Drosophila melanogaster: one gene and its partners. The protein of the gene in region 1 purifies or fractionates together with the protein of each later gene. This does not show direct contact. Each region holds a gene or a part of one and is shown on either strand. Other genes may lie near its edges.

Region 1 (6,959 bases):
GCGGCGGATTGGGGGGCAATGCCGGCAGTGGTGGCCACCTCATATCCAATCTCACAGCCGCCCACAACATGTCCGCCGTGAGCAGCTTTCCTATCGATGCCAAGATGCTGCAGTTCTCCACGGATCAGGTAGGATACTTCTCCCATATATCCTAGACTTTTGCAGACATAAAGTGCTATGAACTTCTTCTTTAGATCCAGTGCATGTGCGAGGCACTGCAGCAGAAGGGCGACATCGAGAAGCTGACCACATTCCTCTGCAGCCTGCCGCCCAGCGAGTTCTTCAAGACCAACGAGAGTGTCCTGCGGGCCCGCGCCATGGTGGCCTACAATCTGGGCCAGTTCCACGAGCTGTACAACCTGCTGGAGACGCACTGCTTTTCGATCAAGTACCACGTGGACCTGCAGAACCTCTGGTTCAAGGCCCACTACAAGGAGGCCGAGAAGGTGCGTGGCCGACCACTGGGCGCCGTGGACAAGTACCGTCTGCGCAAGAAGTATCCCCTGCCCAAGACGATCTGGGATGGCGAGGAGACGGTCTACTGCTTCAAGGAGAAGTCGCGCAACGCTCTCAAGGACTGCTACCTGACCAACCGATATCCCACCCCCGACGAGAAGAAGACGCTGGCCAAGAAGACCGGGCTCACGCTCACCCAGGTCTCCAACTGGTTCAAGAATCGTCGACAGCGGGATCGCACGCCCCAGCAAAGACCGTGAGTTGAAATCATAGATTCTCATGTCCTCATCCATAAAATCCACTATATAACTTATCCTTTTAACTATAACCCACATCCTATCTTGAACACATAAAATAGAATTTTATTTTAAGAACTGAAAATCGTCAAAGAATCAATCAAAAGATTAGTTGTAATTAGAGATTATTGACTATTTCCTAAAAAACAACTTTGAAAAGAGCTAATACCATTTGAAGTGTAGTTAGATTCTCTTCACATTTCTTTTGAACTTGGGCCAACCAAGTTCGTTAGGAGGGGAATCTAGGGCGGCATGGTAATTTCCACTTCCTCATAACTCGTAAAACAATTCATTCAACACTTGAGCGTGTTGCGCCCCAGAACCAAACTCCGAAATCCGAAATGCGAACGAATATAATCAATTGTTCTGGAATTGGCATTAAAAATCGTTTGTAAGTGACCGTTCCGTACGGCACTTGTGCCTCCAGGCCGCCCACTTGAGCGTGTTTTATGTCCAATTTCGGCCGGCTCCTTGCACGGTCCTCTGCATATTTATAGAGCCCAGGGACTCGGGACGTGCCCGACTCCTAACGCAGCGCATGCGTGTAGCATGTGCCCCTCATCCTCCTCACCATTCCCATTCTCCTCCTCCGCCCGCATCCCGCTGTTTGATCGCATCGCCTCTACAGGGCGTCAAATTGCAGCACATACCACACCCGAGCTCACAAGTGGAGTAAATGTGTTCTTTTTAGCTGCTCGAAAACTCACAGTCGCACTTCCATGACTAGAACCATTTGGAAAACGCAGAGCGATCTTAAAAAATGGAGTCATGCTTCACTTACATTGATAATTGTTAAGGGAATTTTAGGGGGATTCCATAGATAGTTCCACTGCCTGAAACTAAAACATATATTTATATATAGTAACTCTATATTTTAAGTGCTATGTTATAAATATATTTAAAAAACTAATTGTTTGATTTTAGGGACATCATGTCGGTGCTGCCCGTGGGCCAACTGGATGGCAATGGATTCCCGCGCATGTTCAATGCTCCAAGCTATTATCCCGAAACGATTTTCAATGGGCAATAAACTGCGATGTGAGGAGGCTGTTTTTGTGTAAATAAAGTGTAATGCGTTTGTATGTTAGGACACAGGCAACTGGAAAGTGGCCATCAAATGGCCATCTTTGTTAGCTCTAGAATTAACCAATTTTTGCTTTATGTACTGTATAACTCGAATAATAAACAAATGACATTAGATCAACAAATGAATTTGTGTGCATTTTATTTGGGAAATTTGGGTTATGTAAAAGAAAAATAATTTATATCCACTGTCGCTGAAAATCATATGGAAAATCAATATGGATAATTTCTCTTAGCTATAATTTTTATGGGCTAATCAAATGGAAAATGCTGGCCTACGAATAAAAGGGATATAATATAGGTAAGCCAGAGACAATATGTTCATATAGTGATTATATGTTAATATATATGTTGGTTAAACGCTAGTTTCTTTTCCTTTGCCCTAATCATTATTTTTGTAAAAACTAATACAAACAATTGGCCAAACTAGTCATTTGCGCTAACCGAATCTTAAAACTTAACACTAAAATCATATTTAAAATTTATGTACCACATATTTCAACGCAACACATTTTAATCTGCGTTACGCCATGAAATATAGACATTTTTAAGAAGAGAAAATTTAAGAAAATTAGGAAATAAAGAATCCTAAATCAAGTTCCACAGCACAAGTTCCAAGTCTGGTCTCAAAAAAATATATATATTAGATAGTAAAAATCATTATATAACACATGAATATTTTTGTGCTTGGACTTTTTGTTTATTATGAAAATTTCGGTGTAAAAAAATTTTGCAAATGCAAAATAGTAACGTTGAAAAGAACTTTTAGCAAGCAATACGGTAAACGGATCAAAATAAGATTGTTTAAAACCACTGAAGTATTGGCGCCATTCGCGGCCGATAGCTCTTACTGTGGCAGCAGCGATAGTGACATCCCTGAAAGCCTATCGAAAAACCATCAAAGAAAGACATGTCACACAAAATAAGCGAATATTTCGCAAATGATCCGCCCAGTTTCTTCGATGAGCTGGCCAGCAAACCCAAGGGCAACAACTTGTCAACAGAAGGGAGTTCCAGCAGCGCCAGTAGCACCAGTTCCGCCCCAAACATGATGTCCAACACCTTCGTCGGGTTCTTCCAACCTCCTGAATATGTTGAGACACCTGAGGCAGGAGAGGATTCTATAAAAGTCGGTGACGACGTAAGAAATCTGTGGGAGTTGCCGCGGGAAAACGAGCCCGGTAAACTTATTATGCCGGGCATCCATCTGCAAACTGACTTGGTGCGTATAGAATGCTTCTATACTTCTTTTTAAAGGTAATGACACTTTTACTTACTGACACTTTATGACTGTTCCAGGCAGATCCCATCAGCGTGGCGGTGACTCAACACCTCGGAGAGGCCGAGTTGTCCTACCGCAAGATCCTTCGCGTCGATGATGTCACCCAGGACGAGCGCGGCTTGAGAACACTAATCCACGCCGGTTGCTATCGCACTGCCGTGAATCTTACGGGCCGTCTTCTGACCATTTACGGTCAGGGTTACGGGCGATCTGGTCAGCCAGCAAAGCATTCGCCCCACTCCCTGCAACTGTGGTTCACGCGCCTCGCGCTGCTTGCCAAGTTGGGCGAGTTTGAGCTGCTGAATGCCGAGGCAGAACCTTTTGGCCAACTTACCAGCCCCGATGTCTTCTACGACTTCTATCCGGAGATGTACAACGGGAAAAGTGGATCCATAGCCTGTTTTTCCTTCCGGCTCTTGCTTGCAGAGCTGCCCATATATCTGGGTAAACCCCATGTCGCCCTGGACAGACTTTCAGAACTTCATGTGACCACGCGGGAAATCAAGGAGCACTATTTAAGTCTGCACAACAAGGCGGCAGAGGAGTTTTGGCAAAGGCGATGCGAACGGGTTTTGCATTCAATCATCAACTGTGGATTGATGGTACGTTCAAGAAAACTTAACTGTAGTTTAAATGAGTGTAACATTGCCCATTTAATTCTTGCAGATGAAGAAATTCAGTATGATAGACGACATAATGGAGGGAACGCTTTTAAAGCGCTCCAACCTGAGCAAGGAGGATCGGCGATCCTTGTACTCCGCTTGGGGCCGCATTTATCTGCAAATTGGTGACATATTTGGAGCGGAGCAGAAGATTGCCGTCTCGAGGAGATTAAGGGAGATGTAAGGCCCTACTCTAACCAACGCTATTTTCAGTTCAATGATATGCTTTGTTGTAGAAACTCCGCGCCTGATCTCAGAGACTTGGTCGATAAGGGATTAATAGCTGTGGCCAAGAACGACTTTCCCGAGGCCTATGTGATATTCCAGAAAGCTCTGCACCTGGACACCGGCAACACAATGATCCTGAACAACATGGGAGTGTGCCTTCTCTACGCCGGAAAGCTAAAGGATGCTATAAATCTGTACGAGCGCGCTATCAACCTGAATCCCCAGAAGTCCCTCAACGAGAGTTTGCTGGTCAATCTCTCGACGCTGTATGAACTGGAATCAAACAACTCCAAGGCGAAAAAGTACAACTTACTGCGCCTAATTAACAGATACAAACCGGATCTCAACATAAGCATAGAAATTTGTCTAAAATTGCAGACGATAAATTAAAGTAGAGATATTGTTAGACATTCCAAGCAAGCGGAACTTTCGGTCAAAATAGGTGAGCCCTTCTTTGAGTCCACTAGAAAAGTATTAGAGAAATAAAATAATGTTATAGATAGTTTCCTATCTGTTTAATTTAATTACTTCAAATTTAATAGATTATAAAACAAATACAACAGAACTATCGTACACGAAAAGTTGCGAATGACAAACGATAGTGCGGAAAGAGCAGGCAATCGATACCGTGCTGCCTATCGCAGCAATGCCATCTCGATTCGACTGCTCCGAGTTTCGTCGCTGAAAAAGAATTTGAGAAGAACTTATTTTTAATTTCCAAAGAAAATCGCGGGAATATTTACGCCAAGCGCACGCCTAAATGTTTGCAAACACGTAGCGCGTGCTTTTCAGACTAGGATAGTTGAAACTAGGTGAGTTTTGTGGCGTTTCAGGGCGTTTTAACGCAGTGCGGCCACACGATGCCCAGGCAGTATATAAAATGGAAAATATTGATGTGCCTGTGCCTCGGTGGGTGCAAAAAAGAAAGTGTAGAGAAATTTTCGTTGCATCCAGAATGTTGTTTGTTTACGCCGTCGAGCATCGAGTTACTCGAGTTCACCTGGAATTGGGCGTCGCAAAGTTCTCCTGATTGATATTATTTGCATTTTCTTTTAATTATAAGCGACTTTTTGTGGCTGCACTGAAAAAGCGCGCCATTATTTTAGTGCTATGACGTAGCTGTCGAGGGCCACGAAACCAAGTGTAATTTTTTCGCAATTGTTTATATGGCGTGCATAATGCCTGCAGTTGGTGCGGGTGTGTGTGTCAGCGGAGGTGCGCTGGTGTGTGTGCGTGCGAGTGCAGCAAATTATTTTGTATATTTTTTATTCCGCTTGTGGCGGTGCGCATACGCTTGGTACACGCTCGTCAAAACATATACACATAACCCAGGCAGAAAATCTCTATTCTTTTGCAATTTGTTTTGATTTCTCATTCGTGCGAGAGCAGAGCTGTGTTCGCTCTCTCTGGCTCTCTCGCTCATGCGCGCCTTCTTAGCCTCGTTTGAGTGGGTGTCGAATTAACTGTTTTCTGGCCAAGGGCTTCCTTCTGATTTTTTTTTTTGGATTTATCAGGCCAACATTTAGTGTTAATTTCTACTACTCCCCACGATCTCCACGCATCATTCCGTCCGACTCTAGCGTGCCCCCGATCTCGCTCCGCTGAGTGGCTGTTGTCGACTGGCCGATTAACGGCAGTTATAGCTCTCTGGTGGTGGTTCTGGTTTCTTCGATTCGATTCCGGTGCGCGCTCACTTTATTATCTGCCATCGTGACAATGTCGCTTTGGATATTTTCTAGCCAAAGGGAGACTTGGCGGTTTTTTATCCTATATTTGAATTATTTTTATATGCAAGAGGTTCAATTAGGCCACTTTGCTGTACTATACTTGGTGATAGTCACGTCTTCAAGCCGTAGTTTTTTTTTTCCGAAATTAAGGGGTATTATATTGATGGTATTTAATGGTATTAAATATCAAAAAATAAAGCTGAACTAAAAAGAAATATAGGTGTTCAAGACGTGTTGAACAACTGTTATTAGTATTTAGCACTGCAACTATAACTATTGTTTTATATGCATATATTGATTGTTTAATATATAACATCGATTAATATTTAACATCCGATTAGTCATCATAAGATATATTAACCAAGAGAATAGCTATTTTCCGAAAATTCAATTTGCCATCACTGGCCATTGATTATCTTTTCTTTTCACTGTCTTGCTCTCACTCTCTTCTTTGATTGAAAACACTTGTTTTTGTTTACCTTGCTCTTGCAGAAATATTTCGCAGCATGGCAGCTAACAACAACAATAGCATCATACACAACCTGGGCGCGGGGACGGAGGGCTTGCTCTCCTCCGTGATTGCGTCGACGGGGACTCCTGGCATGGGATCCTCGCCCGTGCCCTCCAGAGCATCTTCATCGTCCGCCTCCTCCGCCGCACAGAGTGCTTGGGATCAATTGACGGCGAGTGCCTCCAACAACATGTCACCTTCACCCACGGCAGGAGCGCCCACGGTCACGGGACCCATTCTACCAGACAATCTGGGCGTAGGAGCGGGCAGTTCACCGGTGGCCAGTTGCTCCTCCCCCTCGACGCCCACGAAAACACATGCGCCCTCACCGCTGGAGAGCATGGGCCATACACCGCAAGGTCCGCCAACCTTGGGACCCGGTGGATATGGCGAGGAGCTAACCGCCGAGCTGGTAAACCAGGGATGGCGGAAATTCTGGTCCAAGAGGGAAAACCGCCCATACTATTGGAACAAAGTCACCGGCGAATCGCTGTGGGAGATGCCCGGCACCAGACCCTTTGATCCGCTCACCGACCCTTTGGGCATCTGCCATGCGGGCGGTCCGACGCCGATCATCCCCAATATGCACCAGCAGCAACAGCACCAGCATCATCACCTGAAGCGGCGGCCGTCGGATGACATGCACATCCATCCCAATCAGCATCATATGGGCGGCGGACCTCCAATGAAGAAGTTTGTTCTGGCCGGTCCCTG
Region 2 (10,048 bases), 1.2 Mb from region 1:
TGGCCGGGTGATCGATTTTGCTGGCCAGGACCGAGCCCACGGCCACCATCAGGCTACTGCGATTCCTCACCGGATCGTCTTTGTTTAACGATAGGTGCAGAGTGCCCTTCAGATAGGCATAACTCTTGTTTACCACCTTGAATTCGATGGATCGATGGCTGGTGTCGCGCATATAGATGCGTCCATCCGGGGTCTCTAGGCGCACAACCACCAGTTCCCGGATGCTGAACTCATCTCGCGGAGAGATTCCGCTCAAGTTACTGGCCAGATGGACAACATTATCAATGGACTTCAGGCATACCAGCATTGCCACTCCGTTATCCTTTACGGTTGCCAGGTCGTCCTTTGCTCTGCCCTTAACGTCAAGGACGAAAAAAACCCGTCTACGCCGCCAGATGAGCAGGTGACCCACTCGGGTGAGAAGAAGACAGTAGCGGCTGGACTTGAAGAAACTCTGTAAAATTGTCCCTAGATTTTTGATGATATGCGGCGGCTGCTGGTCCAGGGGCTTTGATCCTACCCCTAGATAGCGGGGTTCCAATGCCAAAGTAAAGGTGTGGCCTTCTAGGTTGAAATTTCTCTTGATCCGCTTCTCTTCGTTGGTGTAGATCTCCGGCTCCAGTAGTTTGTGTTCGTCGGGGTCGTCGTGCCCTTGATTCACATCCGAGCTGGCCCGAAATAAATCCGTGCCCTCCTCCAGCAGCATGTCGATCTTCTCTGCCGTCCAGTCCGTTTCGGGCAGGACATAAATCAAGGCGAATGCCTTCAGATAGGTGGCGAAGTTAAGAACATTCGCCTCCTGCTGCTTGGGAGAACATCCGCAGGGATTGTTTACAGTGGCATTTGAGCAGACGAGGCCCACAGGACAGCCCAATGAGTCGGCCTCCACGTCTGAGCGATTGGGCACCTTTTCGCAGAACTTCCAGTGATCGCAGCTAGGTTCCGTCCTCAGGGATCCTCCGCCGCAAAACTTGCTGCCCAGATCTAGATCCGAATAGCTGAGATACCTAAGGACGATCAGGAGGATGGATCAGTTTAAGCATTTCACAAATTCTGGAGTACTCTCCACGTATTGCTCGAGTTGCTCATGCTGATCCGAGGGCAACTGCCCGGGGCGCTGGCAAAACGGGCAAGATCGTGTTGGCTGATAGGCATCCTAAGATGTCTGTTACTTAAATTTTGTACAGCAAAGATTTGAGATTTGAGTTTTTTTCTGTTTTTGTTCTAATGTAATTGTTGCTGAATATTGCACAAAGGAAGAATTGATCCAGTATTATTTGATTTAACGGAATTTCAAGAAAATGTGTAGTCAAAGATTATATTAAAAAAAAATAATATAAAAAATTATAATAAAACAAAGTTTCAGGTTTATGAATATTTTTAGATATAATTAAATATAATAAAATGCCGTCCTGATAATATTAAATTTCTCTTCCAATCTGATGTGAATTTTTCCCATTTTTTACTTAACTTGTTTTTAAACAACAAAAAAATCATATAAATCATTTAGACAAAAAATCAGTTCTGTACAAAATTCAATTATTGAAAACGGAGTTTCTTTCAAGAATATGCTTATTATTTCTATTTAGGCATTAATGCTGTACAAGTGCAATAATTGATAATAGAGTTTCTTAATAAAAAAAAGGGTATCATTTCTATTGAACACGGCCAACTGAACTTTGCCATGAACGTATTAGTCATTCTTCAAACACAAATAAGTGCGCACAGAAAAGTCAAATATAGCTAAGAAAATGCATGTTTTGTGAAATAATTTAATGTATACATATATTTTTGCTTTAATCTTAGTTACTTAGAAGTAAAAAGAGGGACGAGGACCAGGAGTGCTAAGTTATCCATTGTTGCCCATGTTGGTTTAAGTGAGAGACAGTGTGTTAGTGTGGTCATTGTTCGGACTGCCGGCAGCTCTCAACATTCCATGGCCAGTGAGTTGGAGTTCTCGTTCAAGGCCTTGATTCCGTTCTCCATTGGCATGGCCAAACTATTATCATCTTCGGGATGGATAACTGCTGAAGCCGCCTCCGATGTGGACGGTCCATCGGTGGCCATCTCATCTTGATGGCCGTTCTCCACGCCATTTCCATTCCCGTTGATGTGCCCGTAGTCCCAATTGATTTTGAATCGGGTGACGCGCGGCTTGCTGGCCAGGATGTTTCGCGTCAGCTTCTCGAAAAGAGGCTTTGTTGGCGGGTTCTCGCGCATCTCCGGGTCAGCGTAGTCGTTATTCACATAGTAGCCCACGCGGACGAACTCCTGGCCGCGGTAGGAGCAGGTAAGCAGAACAATGGTAACGCCCACCGCATCCGGTTCCGGGATCTTGCTGACGTCTGGCGGATCCGCCTGGAAGACAAAGATGTGTCGCCCCTCAGGCACAGGTCCCACGTATATGGTGTCCAGCACCTGGTCGTGCTCCTCGGACTCCGCCGAGCCTACATAGATCATCTTCCACTCTAGATCCTCTTTTAGCTCCTCAATGCACTCGAACGTGAGTTCGAACTGAAAGGGGTTGAAGAAGCTGCTCGGGTTGTCCAGCACCACCACGTTGGTGATGTGCACCTTGGCCATGACTGTACCTCGGAGATTGCAGAGCGTAGACCGATATTTTAAAGACTCCTTCGACTGCGCGCTTTTTTTAGAGGTTCTGCTTTTGTCCGACTAGGGAATTGCTTTGCGAAATTCACCTGCAAAACGCTCAGCAAATACTTGATATATGTACTGTAATGCTAGTAGTTTGTTTTGGTTACAACATGAATCAGGTTTGTGCAATTGTCTGTCGCTATTCTGCTTTTATTTATCGCAATTATTCCGCTTGTCTTCGCACAAATGGTGACAGCTGACTTCTTTCCCGCGCTTCAGAGGGACCGTTCGGTGTCGCAAGTGGTGGCGAAAAACTCACCACGACAAGTGGCGGAATGTCAAAACGCGACAATAGTTCGATTGGTGAACGAGTTTACAAGATCTAAAAAATACTAATAATAATTTCGTTTCGTTACAACTGGCCTTTACACGAATTAACGATAAAAAAAAACCTAGATGCTGTAGTTTCAGCGGCATTACGGAATGGTTTACAAAAAATACACATATGACAAAATAATGATCTTCAGAAAAACCAAGTCAAATAAAAATTGGAACATATATTTTCTGATTGGAAGAGCGATCGATATCTGCGCAAAAAACAGCTGTCGACTTTCTGCCAGTAACGATAGTTTCGATACAAACTTGCATCAAGTGCCATCTCCAGCTGCTCCCTGCAATTGTTGTGTGGTGTTCTGTATTTTCTTTGTAAATAGTTGGAGTAATGCTGCACCTGACGGGCCAGAGTTACAATGCTCGCGACATCATCCGGAACATCTTCTCGCCGCTGATCGGCGTGCTGTCCAGTCCACAGGCGGACGAGATTTGCCACCGGAACAACCTCTCCTTCGTGGAACTCCTGCAGCCGTTCGCAAAGTTGCCAAATGATGGTGAGTGAATGGGATAGTGAATGGTTTGTGTGTAAGGGGGCGTGCGGGTGAGGTAAACAAGGCATAGACGCGGCTAAGAAAATAGGTCTTTTCTATGGAACTTTCAACCGATTCGACATGGTTATTTAACATTTTGCATACAAAGTAGTTGTTTAAGGGTTGTTATGGTGTGGATGACATGTTTAAAGCTCAGAAGTTGGTAAACGTTGATTCTAACATTGTTGATAATAAACTTAAATTGCCAACAAATTCTAAATGGCCAAAAATTAAATGCATTTGTACTCCTTTCTTTAGCACACTTTCGCGACGTGTCCGGAACGAGTGTATCGGTGCGTGGACTCCGTCTCAATTTCTGTGATGTGGACTGGCGGCCGCCGCAAACAATTTTGGCCAGGAAGATGCTCAACGAGTCTGTGACCAACGCCCATAATGACAAAACCAGACTGGCCACCATAGGTAAGGGTTTAAGCGATGCAAAAATGTCTTTTGGTAACTCATTTACCATTCTCCCATAGCTGGCATAGACCTTGAGTTACCCACATCGGAACCATGGTTCGAGCAGTGGCGTGAGACCTTTTTAACTGTGCAATTTCCGGCGGATCATGAGTTCACCCGCCATCTATTAAGTTGTTTGCTAGTGCTATCCAGCGCAGATCCCCAGATCGTGGAGACCGCCCACAAACTGGGACAACGTGTGCAGCAGATGCAGAGCATCACGCCCCAAAAACTGCCCAAGTGGTTCCATCCCACCGAGGTCCTCAATAGTTACGTAGTGCTGCACGAGGCTAGCCAGGGAGACTTGTCCAAAGCACAGCAGGGATTCGAGCTGCTCAAATCCACGTTCGGAGACAGCAAGTGTTTTTTGGTGTCGATCAACTCGATGGATTCTCAGGGTGCAGCTGAGGTTCCAGATCACTGGGCAACGTTTATTAAAAGACAGCCTAAAAGTGATCCAAATCTACCCTCCACTGATCTTAGTGCACCGAAATCGCCACAGGAAGCGGTTTCTGTAATAAGTATGCCTGCTATGCAAATGTCACAGCTCCTGGAAGGAGTCAGTGCTCAAGATAGCGATCTGGCCATGCTTCATCCGCTGAGTCCCATGCAGGAAAGCGCCACAGAGGCGATTAATTCGAAATTTAGCATCAGCAGCGAGAGTATTGCCTCTCAAACAATCAATCCCAATGTTTGGGGAAATGAATTAGAGGCGGATGCACCTCACGGCGGATGTCTTACCAGTCGAGACATTGACAACCTACGACACTTTGTGCAGGACTATGCTGTTCGAGCTTTGATTCCCTATATCGAGCATCTGGTGGCTATTCTCGCCGAGGGAGTGACGAACAAAAAGGGTGTCAGCAAGTCGCTATTGAGCGCTACGAAACGATGGTTTGTCACTAGCAAGCCGGGAGCAGGAGCAAACAATCAAAATGCAGTCATGTAAGATTTATTTTGTTCCCATTTTTAAATTTTAATGTTAAACCGCTTTGTTCACAGCTACACCAATGAATCTGCGGAGCTCCAAACACGAAAGTTGGGCGATCTCTACTTCATGTTTGGTCACTACAATTTAGCTTTCCAATCCTACCACCAAGCCAAGCGAGACTTCAATGCGGATTCAGCTTGGCAATACTATGCGGGAGCCCTGGAAATGGCTGCCCTATCCGCCTTCATGCTGGGTACTGCTCAAAGAAAGACATATGACTACATGGAGGATGCAATTGTGTGTTATCTCACAGTGTGCAAGTAAGTTAACTGTGGGATTTGTTTACCAGCTTTTCTATTATTTTGTTTTTACAGATTGCAGCAATTTGCGACCAGAGCTACGCTCCTAAGCATGGAATGTTTAAAAACAGCACGACTATATAGTGAAGTAGCCAAGCAATTGATTCGCATGACCAACGAGGAATCAGATCTTCGCTCAGCCCTCTTGCTGGAGCAGGCAGCCTACTGTTTTCTGGTGACCCAACCGCCAATGCACAGGAAGTATGCCTTCCATATCGTGCTGGCCGGGAATCGTTATTCCCGAGCTGGCCAAAGAAAGCATGCATACCGTTGCTATCGCCAGGCCTATCAGGTTTTCCAAAAGCGTGAGTGGAGCTTGGCTGAGGATCACATTCAATATACGGTGGCCAAGCAGGCCTACATGCTGAAACAACTTGAGGAGGCCAGTCGATCTTTCGCCCATTTACTGAGACCTGGAAGCCTTCAAAGTGCACAGCAGCAGACCAGTTTCTTAAAGGAGTACATTCAGACTCAGAATGTAAGTTTGTAAAATACTTTTTTCATACAATTTGCCTTTATTAAATACTATTTTATTAAACTATTGCAAATTCAACTACTAATATATTTTTCAGGAACTGGTTAAGCGAAGTCCTGAGCTGGGATTACTACCACATGCCTTACCCCAAGTAGTGCAATCTTCCGTTCGTGTTCTTACTTTAGTGCAATCACCGTCGGCTGTGGCACCTCATGTGCCGGCGACTAACATAGACATCAACTCAAATCTGACTGCAGATGAGCCCATTTGGAACAAGATTGAAGAGATGCTTGTGATCACTGCTGCCAATAATAAGCCCTTTGTCTTTAAACCCTCGAGATATTTGTACACTAAACAGCAGCCTGCATTGGAAACTCCAGTTGCCGTGCAAGGTGAACCCATTGAGCTTGCTGTAACCCTCTCAAATAGCGTTCAATGTAGAATAGCCCTATCCGAGATTGACCTTCTGTGGAAACTCACACTGGACAATGATGAGGTGCTCTCCAACGCCTGTACGTATGAGGAATCATCGGATAGTGCTAATAAAATAGCAGTAGGAGCAGCAATCAAAACGAGCTGCATGGCTTCCATCAAATTGGCCGAACAGGCCGAAGAAACTTTACACTTTAAGCTGACTCCAAAGTTGACCGGACGTCTGAGTATTTTGGGAGTCGTTTGTCGAGTAGCAGCCGGTGCGGATCCTGCAGCCAGTCTCCTGGGTACCTTACAGTTTGAAACCCAAAAGATCAGGCCTCACAATGCCAAGCAATCATCGCAGACCGTTATGGACAACAGATTAACTATCAAACTGGTTCCCCAACTGCCCGCCATGAATGTAAGCTTTACTCCCGTTCCCAATCGACTGTTGGCTGGTGAAATTGTTCCCGTTCATGTAACTCTTCGGAATATGGGAATTGCTCCGATTGAAGAGATCTATTTGGGATGCGATAACCCGCGCTGTGTGTCCCTTTTGGATCAGCACAGCCAAATGCCACTGGCTATGATGAGTTGTGAGTAAATAATACATTTCATTATTGAATATTTGTTTTCATTTTACATTGTTTGTAAAGCTCTTCGCAATCTTTCCAATGACAAGCTAGTAAAGGATAAGGAAATTCGAGGACAGCGAGTATATCGATTACTTAACCGGCCTGGGCTGGCTGCCTTAGACGCCCAGCAAGTTCAAACCATCTCCTTGTGGGTGCAGGCTCCACACCAGGCGGGACCCTTTACCTTACGCCTTCTATTTTATTACTCATTGCCAACGGTGGCAAATTCACCCATTAAATATCGATTGGTTCGGCATATTTGGCAGCTGCAGGTAGAGAGTTGCCTGCAGGCAGACTCCACTTGTGTGGTCAGCAATGCGGTTACTAATGAATTGGGACTAGATGTGAACGTTAGGAACCAACATGCAGTAGAGGGAACGGAAGTGTACATCAACTCTATTTCATTGTACTCCACGGAATTTAAGTTGAATCCCGATAGGTTACACAGTAAGTTAATTAATAATAATACGATTTTTAAAAGATGCAATTATTTATATATTGATATGAACTTATGTAGTTTCTTTCAAAACGTTTCACTAATATAAGAGATTTTTAATTAATATTTATTTTTTTACAGTAATGAACAGTATGGGAGTCAGCCCGGGACAGGCTGGAGCACAGTGCCTCAAGTCTTCCATTTGCTGCAATTTTCAGTGCCGCCTTCTCGAGAAAGAAACACAAGAAGAATATAAAGACATTCCATCGATTAAAACATTGCTTCATTCGCGACTTTCCCATTTAAAGATCCTGCCTGCCCAGCACGCTCAGCAAGTGGAGCAGCACATGCCTCCGATACACGACCCGCACAGCTTTCTCACCAACGAAGAGACGGTGTATTTCAATACCAACATCTCCACGGAAGAGTTCAACGCAAGTGTAGCTGACTATGTACCGCACGCCACATTGGTCCTAAGTTGGAGCGCCCTAGTAGCTAGGGAGGAGGGGCAGCGCTTGGCCTGTGGCCTGCACTTCATAAAGCTTTACAAACTATTTGAGACTGGCCACTGTCCAGCGGCGCCAACAGCTTCTTTCCTACGAAGAAGACATTCCTCTGACGACACCTTAGATAACCGACGGGAGTTTCCACTACCTGAGGGAGCGCTAAATAATGAGGATGCTTGGCAGCCCCTGGCGGATGCTGATGAAGAAGACTACTGGGAGCCCAATGAAAACTATGTGGGCCAACGGTGTCTACTGGAGGATGAGAGCTTTGTAATGGCAGTTAAAGCTTAAGATGTTTGTCAAGTGGTGTCATTAAATTATATGTTATCGTCTATCAGTTATGATATGCTAAAAATGGTATTGTCATTTCATTGAGTTTAAGTTTAAAAAATTTGTAAGCTTTTTGCCCCTCTGCATGTGAAAATGTATATTTCACGGGCAAAAGTACCCTATTCCTTGATTAAGAAGCTGCGCATAAAACAAATAAGTCCTGATTGGGAAAGTAATTAGGTGTTATGGTTTATAAGCCGTCTTTGGTTAAATTCATAATTTGTTAGTTTATTATTGATTGATTTAAAAAGAATTCATTAATAATCCACGCTAGTAATATGATTAAACATGTAACATTAAAGTGGTAATTGCTTTTTGGTAGTTCCTAAGCTGCTGACTAGACGGGATGATGACGTGGTTCTTAGTGGATGAGTGGATTTCAGTGGCAGCGCAACGTAATAATCTTGGTGGCAGAATGAAGAGTTTTATTATTAGATTTAAGTGCGTTTCTTGGTCATGTAAACTCGAGCTGTGGCGTAGAGGACATGCGTACAAGCGTATATATTGCCCAGAGCGCTTCCCAGCAGTGCTCCGATCACGTTGGGAATGGGATAAGCCTGCCAGTCACGTCCCCAGTCTAGTGGAGCGACCACGCTCCCGGCCCAAGCTCCCAGAATACCGCCCAGTGCATTGTACTTGAACAGATTCAGAGCCGTGTCCTCGCACTTGGTCACAAAGTCCGGTTTCTCGCAGAAGCACACTTGTAGTGCTCCTCCGCCACCGAGGAGGAAAACCGTGGGTGACACCGTCAACAAGGTCATCAGTAAGGCCAAGACGAAGGTCTGCTCATAGTTGCCCAGCACCGGGGCTCCCAAAATTATGCAGATAAAGGCGTAGAGGAGTGTACACAGGAACTGCAGGGTGAATCCTCCGAGGAGCTCCCGCGGCGTAAAGTACGAGTTCTTTTTCTGGCGCTGTTTGGCGGTTAGGACGCCATCCTCAACCTTCCCGTAGAAGCGAGCCAAAACAACTTTTAGCAGCTCTCCGAGGAAAACAATAGGGACGACAAGAGAATCCCAGAAGCTGCCGAGATGTGCCCAATTCCGGCGATACTGCATGTACGCCATGCAGATCAGGATGGTGGCGAGGCTGAGGGACACGTGGAAGAGCTGGTGCTTGGTCTTTTGTTGGTCGAATCGGGAAACCATGATTAAATGCAGATAAATACAATTTTGGTAAATCTTAAACTTGGACAATATTTTCCTGCCTTTCGTTTGTATTTCGCCGCCTATCAACACTGAATGTACTGTGGGCTTAAAACACAAAGCTTCGGAAATTTTAAATCACCGAATTTACATATAAAACAAAAAATTAAGATTTATTTTATAATGGATGCTTTTTACTTACAAAATTCAAAAAATTAATTCCAAAATTAAAAAAATGCTCTAAATAAGGGACAACGTTGTCGACGTCATTGGGTTCATGCGGTGTAGAACAAAAAAAAAATTTCACCGGTACCACTGTGCAACAATAGAAGAAATCGTTTTGCAGCACTGTCAGCCGCTGTCATTTCACCAGCCGTCACATAATCACTCACCACACATTTGGACTGCAAATTGTTTTTCTACCATTTCTAGTTATTTCTAAGTAAATTGCGAGTGGATATTGCTTTCAATATGTTAGCCCGCGCTATCCGAGTGCGCCCCATGATGCGTGGCATCGCCTCGTCGTCAGTGTGGAACCGGAATCGTCCCATTCAGAGTTCCCTGATGCAATACTGCCGGGATCGGTCGTTGCGCCTCCAGCGGCTCCACGGAGCCAATTTGATGGTGCAGCGCTTCTACAGCCGCAAGCGGGATGATTCCAACGGGGATATTATTATGGGACCCGATCTTATGTCCGATCAAGATACCCATCTTCCGGCAACTGTGGCGGTGCCGGACGTGTGGCCACATGTTCCGTTGTTGGCCATGCGCAAGAATCCTCTCTTTCCCCGCTTTATGAAGATAGTGGAGGTAAGGTTTCATTTGACTGGATGAATAACT
Region 3 (7,346 bases), on another chromosome or scaffold:
GGCCCCGTAAAAAGGGACTTCCCGCTGCTCTAGTGACTTGTATTTTTAATTATTTTTATACTTTGTGCTGGGAAATGTATCATGGTAATCTGAATAATACGTCAATTTAATTTATATAATTTTATAAATATTTGTATGATCTTTAGTAAAGTAAATAAAGTAAAACAATATATAAAATGTTTGTTAATATATAGCCGTGTACTTTTATATTTTCTTCAAACCCCAAATAATGAATAATTATATTGAACATTTATTAATTATTATTTAATTAATTTATAATTTAACTATTATCATAATTTAACTATTTAAATATAATGACTATTATCATTTTAAGTCATTAAAAGAAAATTTGTTACGATTTAAACTTTATTTATATTTTTGTTCTTAAATATAAAATACAAATAGTTCCCTTAATGTGTTCCATTCCATCGTTTCTGTTAAGATATATTTCGATTGGCACCTTTGTGTGTAGTGGTTTTGTTTATTGTTACCTTGAGTATTTACGAAAGACGCATAATAACAAAGAGTTGCAAAGTTGTTGTATTATTTGAGAGTTATAATGGCTGATATGGAGATACAGAGCAACAAAATGTCAATAACGGAGGAAACACAAGTGGTAATATATTATTAAATATAAAAGATGTGGTCTTTTTGTTTGAACATGATCTGAATTGTTCTAATGCGCAGTAAGGCCTTGCGTGTATGTATATACACATATATAAGCTATCTTCTGTGTATGCGTGTATATACATATGTGATTTTTATCATGCAAAAGCGCCTATTTTCAAAAAAGATTTTAAGTTTGACTTATCGGAACTAAATTTTTGCGAATAAGAATATTGAAAGCAAATTGTTTTTGGGATATCGTCAAATATTTACATTTTATATTATATTTATAAGCAGACGCGCAAGGAATGTGGAAAAAGGGGACGAAAACCAGGAAGAAAGACGTCTACTGAAAAATTGGACATGAAAGCCAAACTAGGTAAGAACAACATTAATTTCCACTTATAATACTTAAACAACGGTATTATTTTTAATAGTAACAAAGTTTCCAAACACTAATACATGTTATTTCCTATGGAATTTTATATAACGTGTATTTTCCCTTGCAGAACGCAGCAGACAAAGTGCCAGGGAATGCCGGGCGCGCAAGAAGCTGCGGTATCAGTACCTGGAGGAACTGGTGGCGGATCGGGAGAAGGCTGTAGTTGCTTTGCGTACGGAACTGGAGCGCGTCGGTATATAACTTATCATGCCACGTCCAACCAATTTATTTATTCTCATCTTTATTGCAGTTAATTCAATGGAATAACCAGTTGAGCGAAAGCAACACTCCAACCAACAATGACCAGTTACTTCAGGAACTCGGAATCCTCAAACAAGAATAACCTACATTCTTATTTTTAGCTTAAGAATATTACTTTTATAATAAATGTACGACGGTTACTATTTATATTATTACGAAAATACTGCAGAAATTTTTGTTATTTTCTATATTGCATTTTACAGCTTTTTATTGTTTCATTTGTATAGTGATTAAAGCCAAATTAAAGTATTTTTATGATAAATAAGAACTAATTAAATATTTGTTATTTAAGGGTGTTAAACCAATTGGTACACTGGAACAGTGATATATGGAACGATTATTCTAAGGGTTCGATAACTTAGTCGTGAAAAGCCTATCAATGGTTTCTCCCATCTCTCCATCGGCATAAAAATACAGAATAGTCTAAGGAACTGAATAAATGTAAACATTATTTATAAACAGCCATTAATAGTTATTCAATTGACAAACTTTTGTGCTGTAAGCAGCGCTTACATATGTGCCAAAATATTCTCACAACCAACAGAATCTCCAACAAGATATTATGGCTTTAAATGGATTTTTAGAATTCTTCCAAAAGGGCAAGGTGTGTTTGGTCAATAACAAAATCATATGCAGTTGATGTATTTTTAAACTAATTTTCAGACCTTTAGGCCAAAAAAGCCATTTGCCTCCGGAACCATTAGGTATTCCTTACATAAGCAAGCCCAGGCCAGTTTGCAATCCGGGATTAATCTGCGGCAAGTGGTGCGTTTGCCGCAAGGGGAGAATCTCAACGACTGGCTAGCTGTGCACGGTGAGAATTGTGAATTATACAATATATACAGTATACCCAACGTTGTATATTTCAGTTGTGGACTTCTTCAATCGCATAAACTTGATCTACGGCACCGTTTCGGAGTTTTGCAACGAAACTACGTGTCCCACGATGTCTGGCGGTTCCAGATATGAGTACTTATGGGCCGATGGAGATCTGTAAGTGCAGGAAATGATATTGCGAAGAGCATAAACTAATGTAGCTACGATTTCAGATACAAAAAGCCAACCGCCCTTTCAGCCCAAAAGTACATTGAGCATTTAATGGACTGGATTGAGACACAAATTAACAACGAAGCTGTTTTTCCAGTGTCCACGGGTAGGAAATTATATACTTTCCTTTTAAAGAAGCCCTCTCGCATATTTCGTATATGAGTTATTTAATGTGTACCATACTTCCTTTCAGATGTTCCATTTCCCAAGAACTTCATAGCAATAAGTCGTAAAATTTTAACCCGTCTTTTTCGTGTTTTCGTCCACGTCTATATTCACCATTTCGATCGGATTGTGAGCATTGGAGCGGTGCGTATCACTAAATAGTTACTTTAATTAACTCTATAAACTGTTAAATGTTTTCACCACTTTCAGGAAGCTCACGTGAATGCCTGCTACAAACATTTTTACTACTTTGTGCAAGAATTTGACATGATTTCGGCCAAGGAATTGGAACCCCTACAAGAAATGACATCTCGAATTTGCAAGGATAAGGATTGAAAGTAATTCGTACTAGATTGTGATGTAAATATGTATTGTTTATTACAAAATAAATAAGCGAACACAAAGCTTGGTGTCCTTTTCTTAATAACTAATTTTATAATTTTAGTTTTTCAAATTTATTGTTTGTTGGTATTATTTTCTCATCAAAATGGTGTGTTAGGGGTACTCCTCTGTAAAGACTGGTATAATAAAGTTCAATAGACTTGGTCGCACCGATGTAAACAGAGTTTTTCGCATTAAGTAAATTAAATTGCTGATTTATTTTTGTTAAAGTTAAGCACTTCTTAGAGTATTTTACAACATGGAGATGGTTGAACCGGATGCGCACTTGGTGGCACTCAAAGGTAAACTCTAGTTGTAATGCAAATTATGGACAAAGTGTGATGTTTTTGTTGTTTTCTTAGTTATGCGTTTGATGCGGCCCACTTTGGTGGGCCTTGGACCTGTGGTAACCTGCGAGCCCACGGATTTGGTCCAGAGATTTAGCAGCTCCCAGGAGAGCGACGGAATGTCCGGTGCCTGTGCGGAGACCTTGGCGGCCGGCCAGGTGCTACTGCTGCCGCAGTCCTTCGGCAGCATTTACCTGGGCGAAACATTCGCCAGCTACATCTGCGTCCACAATACCACCCCGAATCCGGTGGAATGCGTCACCGTCAAGGCGGATCTACAGTCGAACACGTCACGCATCAACCTATCCATGCACGAGAACGCCAAGTCGCCGGTGGTATTGCCGCCGGGTGGAACCATTGACGATGTGATACGATACGAGGTGAAGGAAATCGGAACACACATGTAAGTAGCACAAGATAGTTGCAACCACAAGCTTGTTCCTCCATATAATCTAAAGCAGTACATAGTACTGTCTTCTGGAAGCCCCAATAATATCATTAATTGTATATCCTGAATTCCTTTCAGTCTCGTCTGCGAAGTGAACTACTCGACTCCTGCGGGCTATGCTCAATCGCTGAGAAAGTTTTTCAAGTTCCAAGTGCTGAAGCCACTCGATGTGAAAACCAAGTTCTACAATGCGGAAATCGACGAAATCTACTTGGAGGCACAAATCCAAAACGTGACCACCAGTCCCTTCTGCCTGGAAAAGGTGGAGCTGGATGGCTCCGAGGACTACTCCGTCACACCACTGAACACGCTGCCAAATGGGGAATCCGTATTCACGGTGAAACATATGCTGCAACCCAACAATAGTTGTCAGTTCCTCTATTGCATCAAGGTGAGATGAGTTGAATTCTCTTATCTATAAAAAATTCATACAATTTCGTATCTTGCGTGCAGCCCAAAGGAGATATTGCGAAGAATGTAGATACCCTGCGGCAATTTAATAATGTGGGTAAACTGGACATCGTCTGGAGGTCGAATCTGGGCGAGAAGGGCAGACTGCAAACCAGTCAGCTACAGCGATTGGTAGGTGTACAAGTTGTAAATAAAATAGATCCCAAATAATATTCTCATTTTTTAGCCATTCGAATGCAAAACGCTCCGCCTGGAAGTACTGGATGCGAAGAACACCATTAAAATCGGCACGATATTCACGTTCAATTGTCGCGTGACGAACACATCCGAGCATCCAATGAAACTGAATGTGCGATTGGCTGCCAAGTTTTCGCCCGATAGTCAATACACGGGCTGTGCTGATTTTATGCTGAATCTTCTACAAAGTGGCGAATCTGCCGAATTTCCATTGTCCGTCTGTCCATCTAAATTGGGCCTCGTGAAAATAACACCCTTGGTATTGACGAATACGCTCCAAAATGAGCAGTTCACCATTGAAAACGTCGTCGATGTTTTTGTTGTTAATTCGGATTACGATAATGATACCACAACTCATCAGAATAAGTTAATTCGTTACGAGAGTGCTGCAAGCTGTTTGACCCAAAAGCAAGTTCAACTGCAAGTTGTATAGAATTGAATAGATGCAAAAATGTATATTTTAAATTTATGTTAATGTGAAATGGGGTTTTAAGTGACGGGATAGATATTATAATTTATGTTGTTACTCTATGTAAAACGCCATACTTTAATAAAAAAAAAGTCGGCGGTAAAATTTTTAATGAAAATTTGCTGAAATGTCCTTTAGTGTGGTCTTGCGTGCATTATGGAATCCTTAATTTCAATTGCATATTTTATATACTTTCTTGTACAAAGATAGTTAGATCTCTCTTTTGTTAGCACATAACGAAAAAACTAAATAAATAAAAAACATCCCCATGTTCTCACAACAAATTAAAAAAAATACCCCATTTAACTTAAATCAAATATATTTGAAAATTTAGACCACATTTTTTATAGCAACACGGATTTTTAGGAACTTCTGCGCCGGTAACACTAGTCCACTTTTTAGATCACAACACTAGAACTTAAAATGTTACGAAATGTGTGCACATTTTCCACGCATTTTGGAAAATGCATATTCCAAGCCCAGCAACCGATTCGTGGAATGGCAGGCCATTCCAAATGGGCCAATATCAAGCACACCAAAGCACTGAAAGATGGGGCCCGAGCGGCGCTATTTGCAAAAATTTCGAGGCAAATTCGAATGGCCATTCAGGAGGGAAACTCCGCGGATCCGGCAATTAACTCCCTTTTGCGAACGGAAATAGAAAGAGCCCTCAAGCAAAACATGCCCAGTGGCACCATACAAAATACGTTAAACAAATTCAAGGCCAGCAAAGTGCAACTAAAGAAGTACCGACTCGACATCAAGTACAAAAGAAACGTGTACCTCATATGCATTTTCTATACCGACAACTTTTCTGGCGTTAAAATGGATGCGACACCGATGATCAAAAAAGCCGGGTAATATCTCAATTTGCATCATTTTGTTGGATATAATTTACCTATGAGATTTTTAGAGGCGAATTCATGGATGTTGGAAGCCTATTCGAGGATTTTGGATTGATTGAAACTCGCTATGATACTGCGAAACTTCAAAATGAATCCAGTTTGGAGGATAAAGCCACCAATGATGCTATAGAGTTGGGCGCCGAAGAGATCGAAGTCGTTGACAATGTCGATGGCTCCGTCAATGTATGTTTTCTTTTTTTTCATTTATATTATATAAATATTAATTTTCCTACATTTACATACAGTTCCTATGCAGTCCAGTGGTTTTAACTAGCTTAAGTAGGAACTTGGAAAAAGCCGGATACACCGTGGAAAACAGTGAACACATATTTTCACCAATGGTAAATCATTCATTTCATTCAATTTCATTTTATCTAAATAGTATTATCTTTCAGAATGTAGTGCAATTATCACCCGAAGAGCAAAAGACCTATGATGTTTTTGTAGAAAAACTGAGAAACCTCCCAGGCTTAGAGGATATCTATGACAATGTGGAACAAAAATGACTTGTTGAATAAAACGTTGAGTTTAAACTTGAATAAATAAATTTGTTTCTAACTGATTAAGATACACTGTTAAGTAACAGAGTGTGCAATTTTCAGTGTTCCCGTTTCAGCGCTAAACGTTTCTGTTATTTTAAAGCTTATGTAAACTGGCTGGAATACCCTTGACGATCTAAAATCCAGCTGTTTGTGTGCGGCCAAACCAATACATGTGGAATCAAAATCATCGGTCGAAATTGAAAATATGAATTATTTAAGAGTAATTCGGAATAATTGGAAGAAATGCACGTTCGGAGCGGCAGTATCTGTGTACGCGCTGCAAGCGCTGAAAACTCACATCGAGTATGCATTCAGAAAACCGTGAAAATTTGACGCAACTTTAACCCCCTTATTTGCTCTCCAGGATTGAACAACATATGCGGGAATTCGCCTCCAACATTCAGGCCAACTGGATATCGGATCGCCCCAAAAAGGTACTGGTGGTCATGAATCCGGTGGCCAACAAGAAGAGATCGGAGAAGTTTGTAAGTAGCTGGCACACAGCTGACTAAGATGATAACCCAGCCATAGATTTTCAGTTTAAGAACTACTGCGAGCCGGTTTTGCATTTAGCTGGATATTCGGTGGAGATCCTTCGGACGAATCACATTGGTCATGCCAAAACCTACGTGGAGGAGTTGGCAACGCTACCCGATGCCATTGTTGTTGCCGGCGGCGACGGCACCTCATCGGAGGTGGTCACTGGGCTGATGCGTAGGCGCGGCAATCTCTGCCCGATCACCATCCTTCCGCTGGGACGTTCGGTGCAGTCCGCATCCAAGCGCATCAACATCTTTGGCGTCAAGGACGTCGACTATGTGAAAAGTCTTTCGAAAGCCCTTGAACCTATGCTCAAGGATGAGAGCCAGTACCAGAGTGTGATCCGCTTTGATGTGATCAATGAAGAAGATGGCAGCAATAGCCAATTGAAGCCCATATTCGGTCTTAATGGTCTGTCCTGGGGTCTGCTGGAGGACATCGATGCGGCAAAGGATAAGTACTGGTACTTTGGACCACTGCGACACTACGCTTCCGCTGCGTCCAAGTCCTTTGCCGATAACTGGAGCCTTAAGACCGACTATGTG

What was found.
Region 2: the proteins of CG11396 (region 1) and l(3)76BDm purify together in Drosophila melanogaster (affinity purification with western blotting; one study listed by BioGRID). This does not show direct contact.
Region 3: the proteins of CG11396 (region 1) and CG4953 purify together in Drosophila melanogaster (affinity purification with western blotting; one study listed by BioGRID). This does not show direct contact.

The regions. Positions count from the first base shown.
Region 1 is NT_037436.4:20,783,889-20,790,847, reverse strand, and holds CG11396 (uncharacterized protein), read left to right. Parts: upstream 1-2,710; 5' UTR 2,711-2,745; coding exon 2,746-3,057; exon of another isoform or gene 3,058-3,134; coding exon 3,135-3,719; exon of another isoform or gene 3,720-3,783; coding exon 3,784-3,959; exon of another isoform or gene 3,960-4,015; coding exon 4,016-4,397; 3' UTR 4,398-4,508; downstream 4,509-6,959. Other genes in the region: Six4, read left to right, coding at 1-128, 195-712, 1,677-1,782; Pcif1 (phosphorylated CTD-interacting factor 1), read left to right, coding at 6,241-6,959.
Region 2 is NT_037436.4:19,611,714-19,621,761, reverse strand, and holds l(3)76BDm (lethal (3) 76BDm), read left to right. Parts: upstream 1-3,240; 5' UTR 3,241-3,316; coding exon 3,317-3,482; intron 3,483-3,776; coding exon 3,777-3,938; intron 3,939-3,997; coding exon 3,998-4,922; intron 4,923-4,979; coding exon 4,980-5,228; intron 5,229-5,282; coding exon 5,283-5,745; intron 5,746-5,839; coding exon 5,840-6,752; intron 6,753-6,812; coding exon 6,813-7,238; intron 7,239-7,368; coding exon 7,369-8,024; 3' UTR 8,025-8,335; downstream 8,336-10,048. Other genes in the region: ms(3)76Cc (male sterile (3) 76Cc), read right to left, coding at 1-1,007, 1,070-1,155; asf1 (anti-silencing factor 1), read right to left, coding at 1,927-2,583; PIG-F (phosphatidylinositol glycan anchor biosynthesis class F), read right to left, coding at 8,501-9,211; Lon protease, read left to right, coding at 9,680-10,018.
Region 3 is NT_033779.5:10,263,649-10,270,994, forward strand, and holds CG4953 (uncharacterized protein), read left to right. Parts: upstream 1-3,054; 5' UTR 3,055-3,161; coding exon 3,162-3,204; intron 3,205-3,264; coding exon 3,265-3,652; intron 3,653-3,775; coding exon 3,776-4,088; intron 4,089-4,150; coding exon 4,151-4,279; intron 4,280-4,334; coding exon 4,335-4,778; 3' UTR 4,779-5,100; downstream 5,101-7,346. Other genes in the region: REPTOR-BP (REPTOR-binding partner), read left to right, coding at 560-616, 901-985, 1,116-1,237, 1,299-1,391; Mob3 (MOB kinase activator 3), read left to right, coding at 1,872-1,913, 1,973-2,123, 2,179-2,302, 2,359-2,462, 2,550-2,665, 2,732-2,857; CG4957 (uncharacterized protein), read left to right, coding at 5,313-5,671, 5,728-5,902, 5,965-6,060, 6,115-6,225; Mulk (Multi-substrate lipid kinase), read left to right, coding at 6,467-6,564, 6,626-6,746, 6,801-7,346.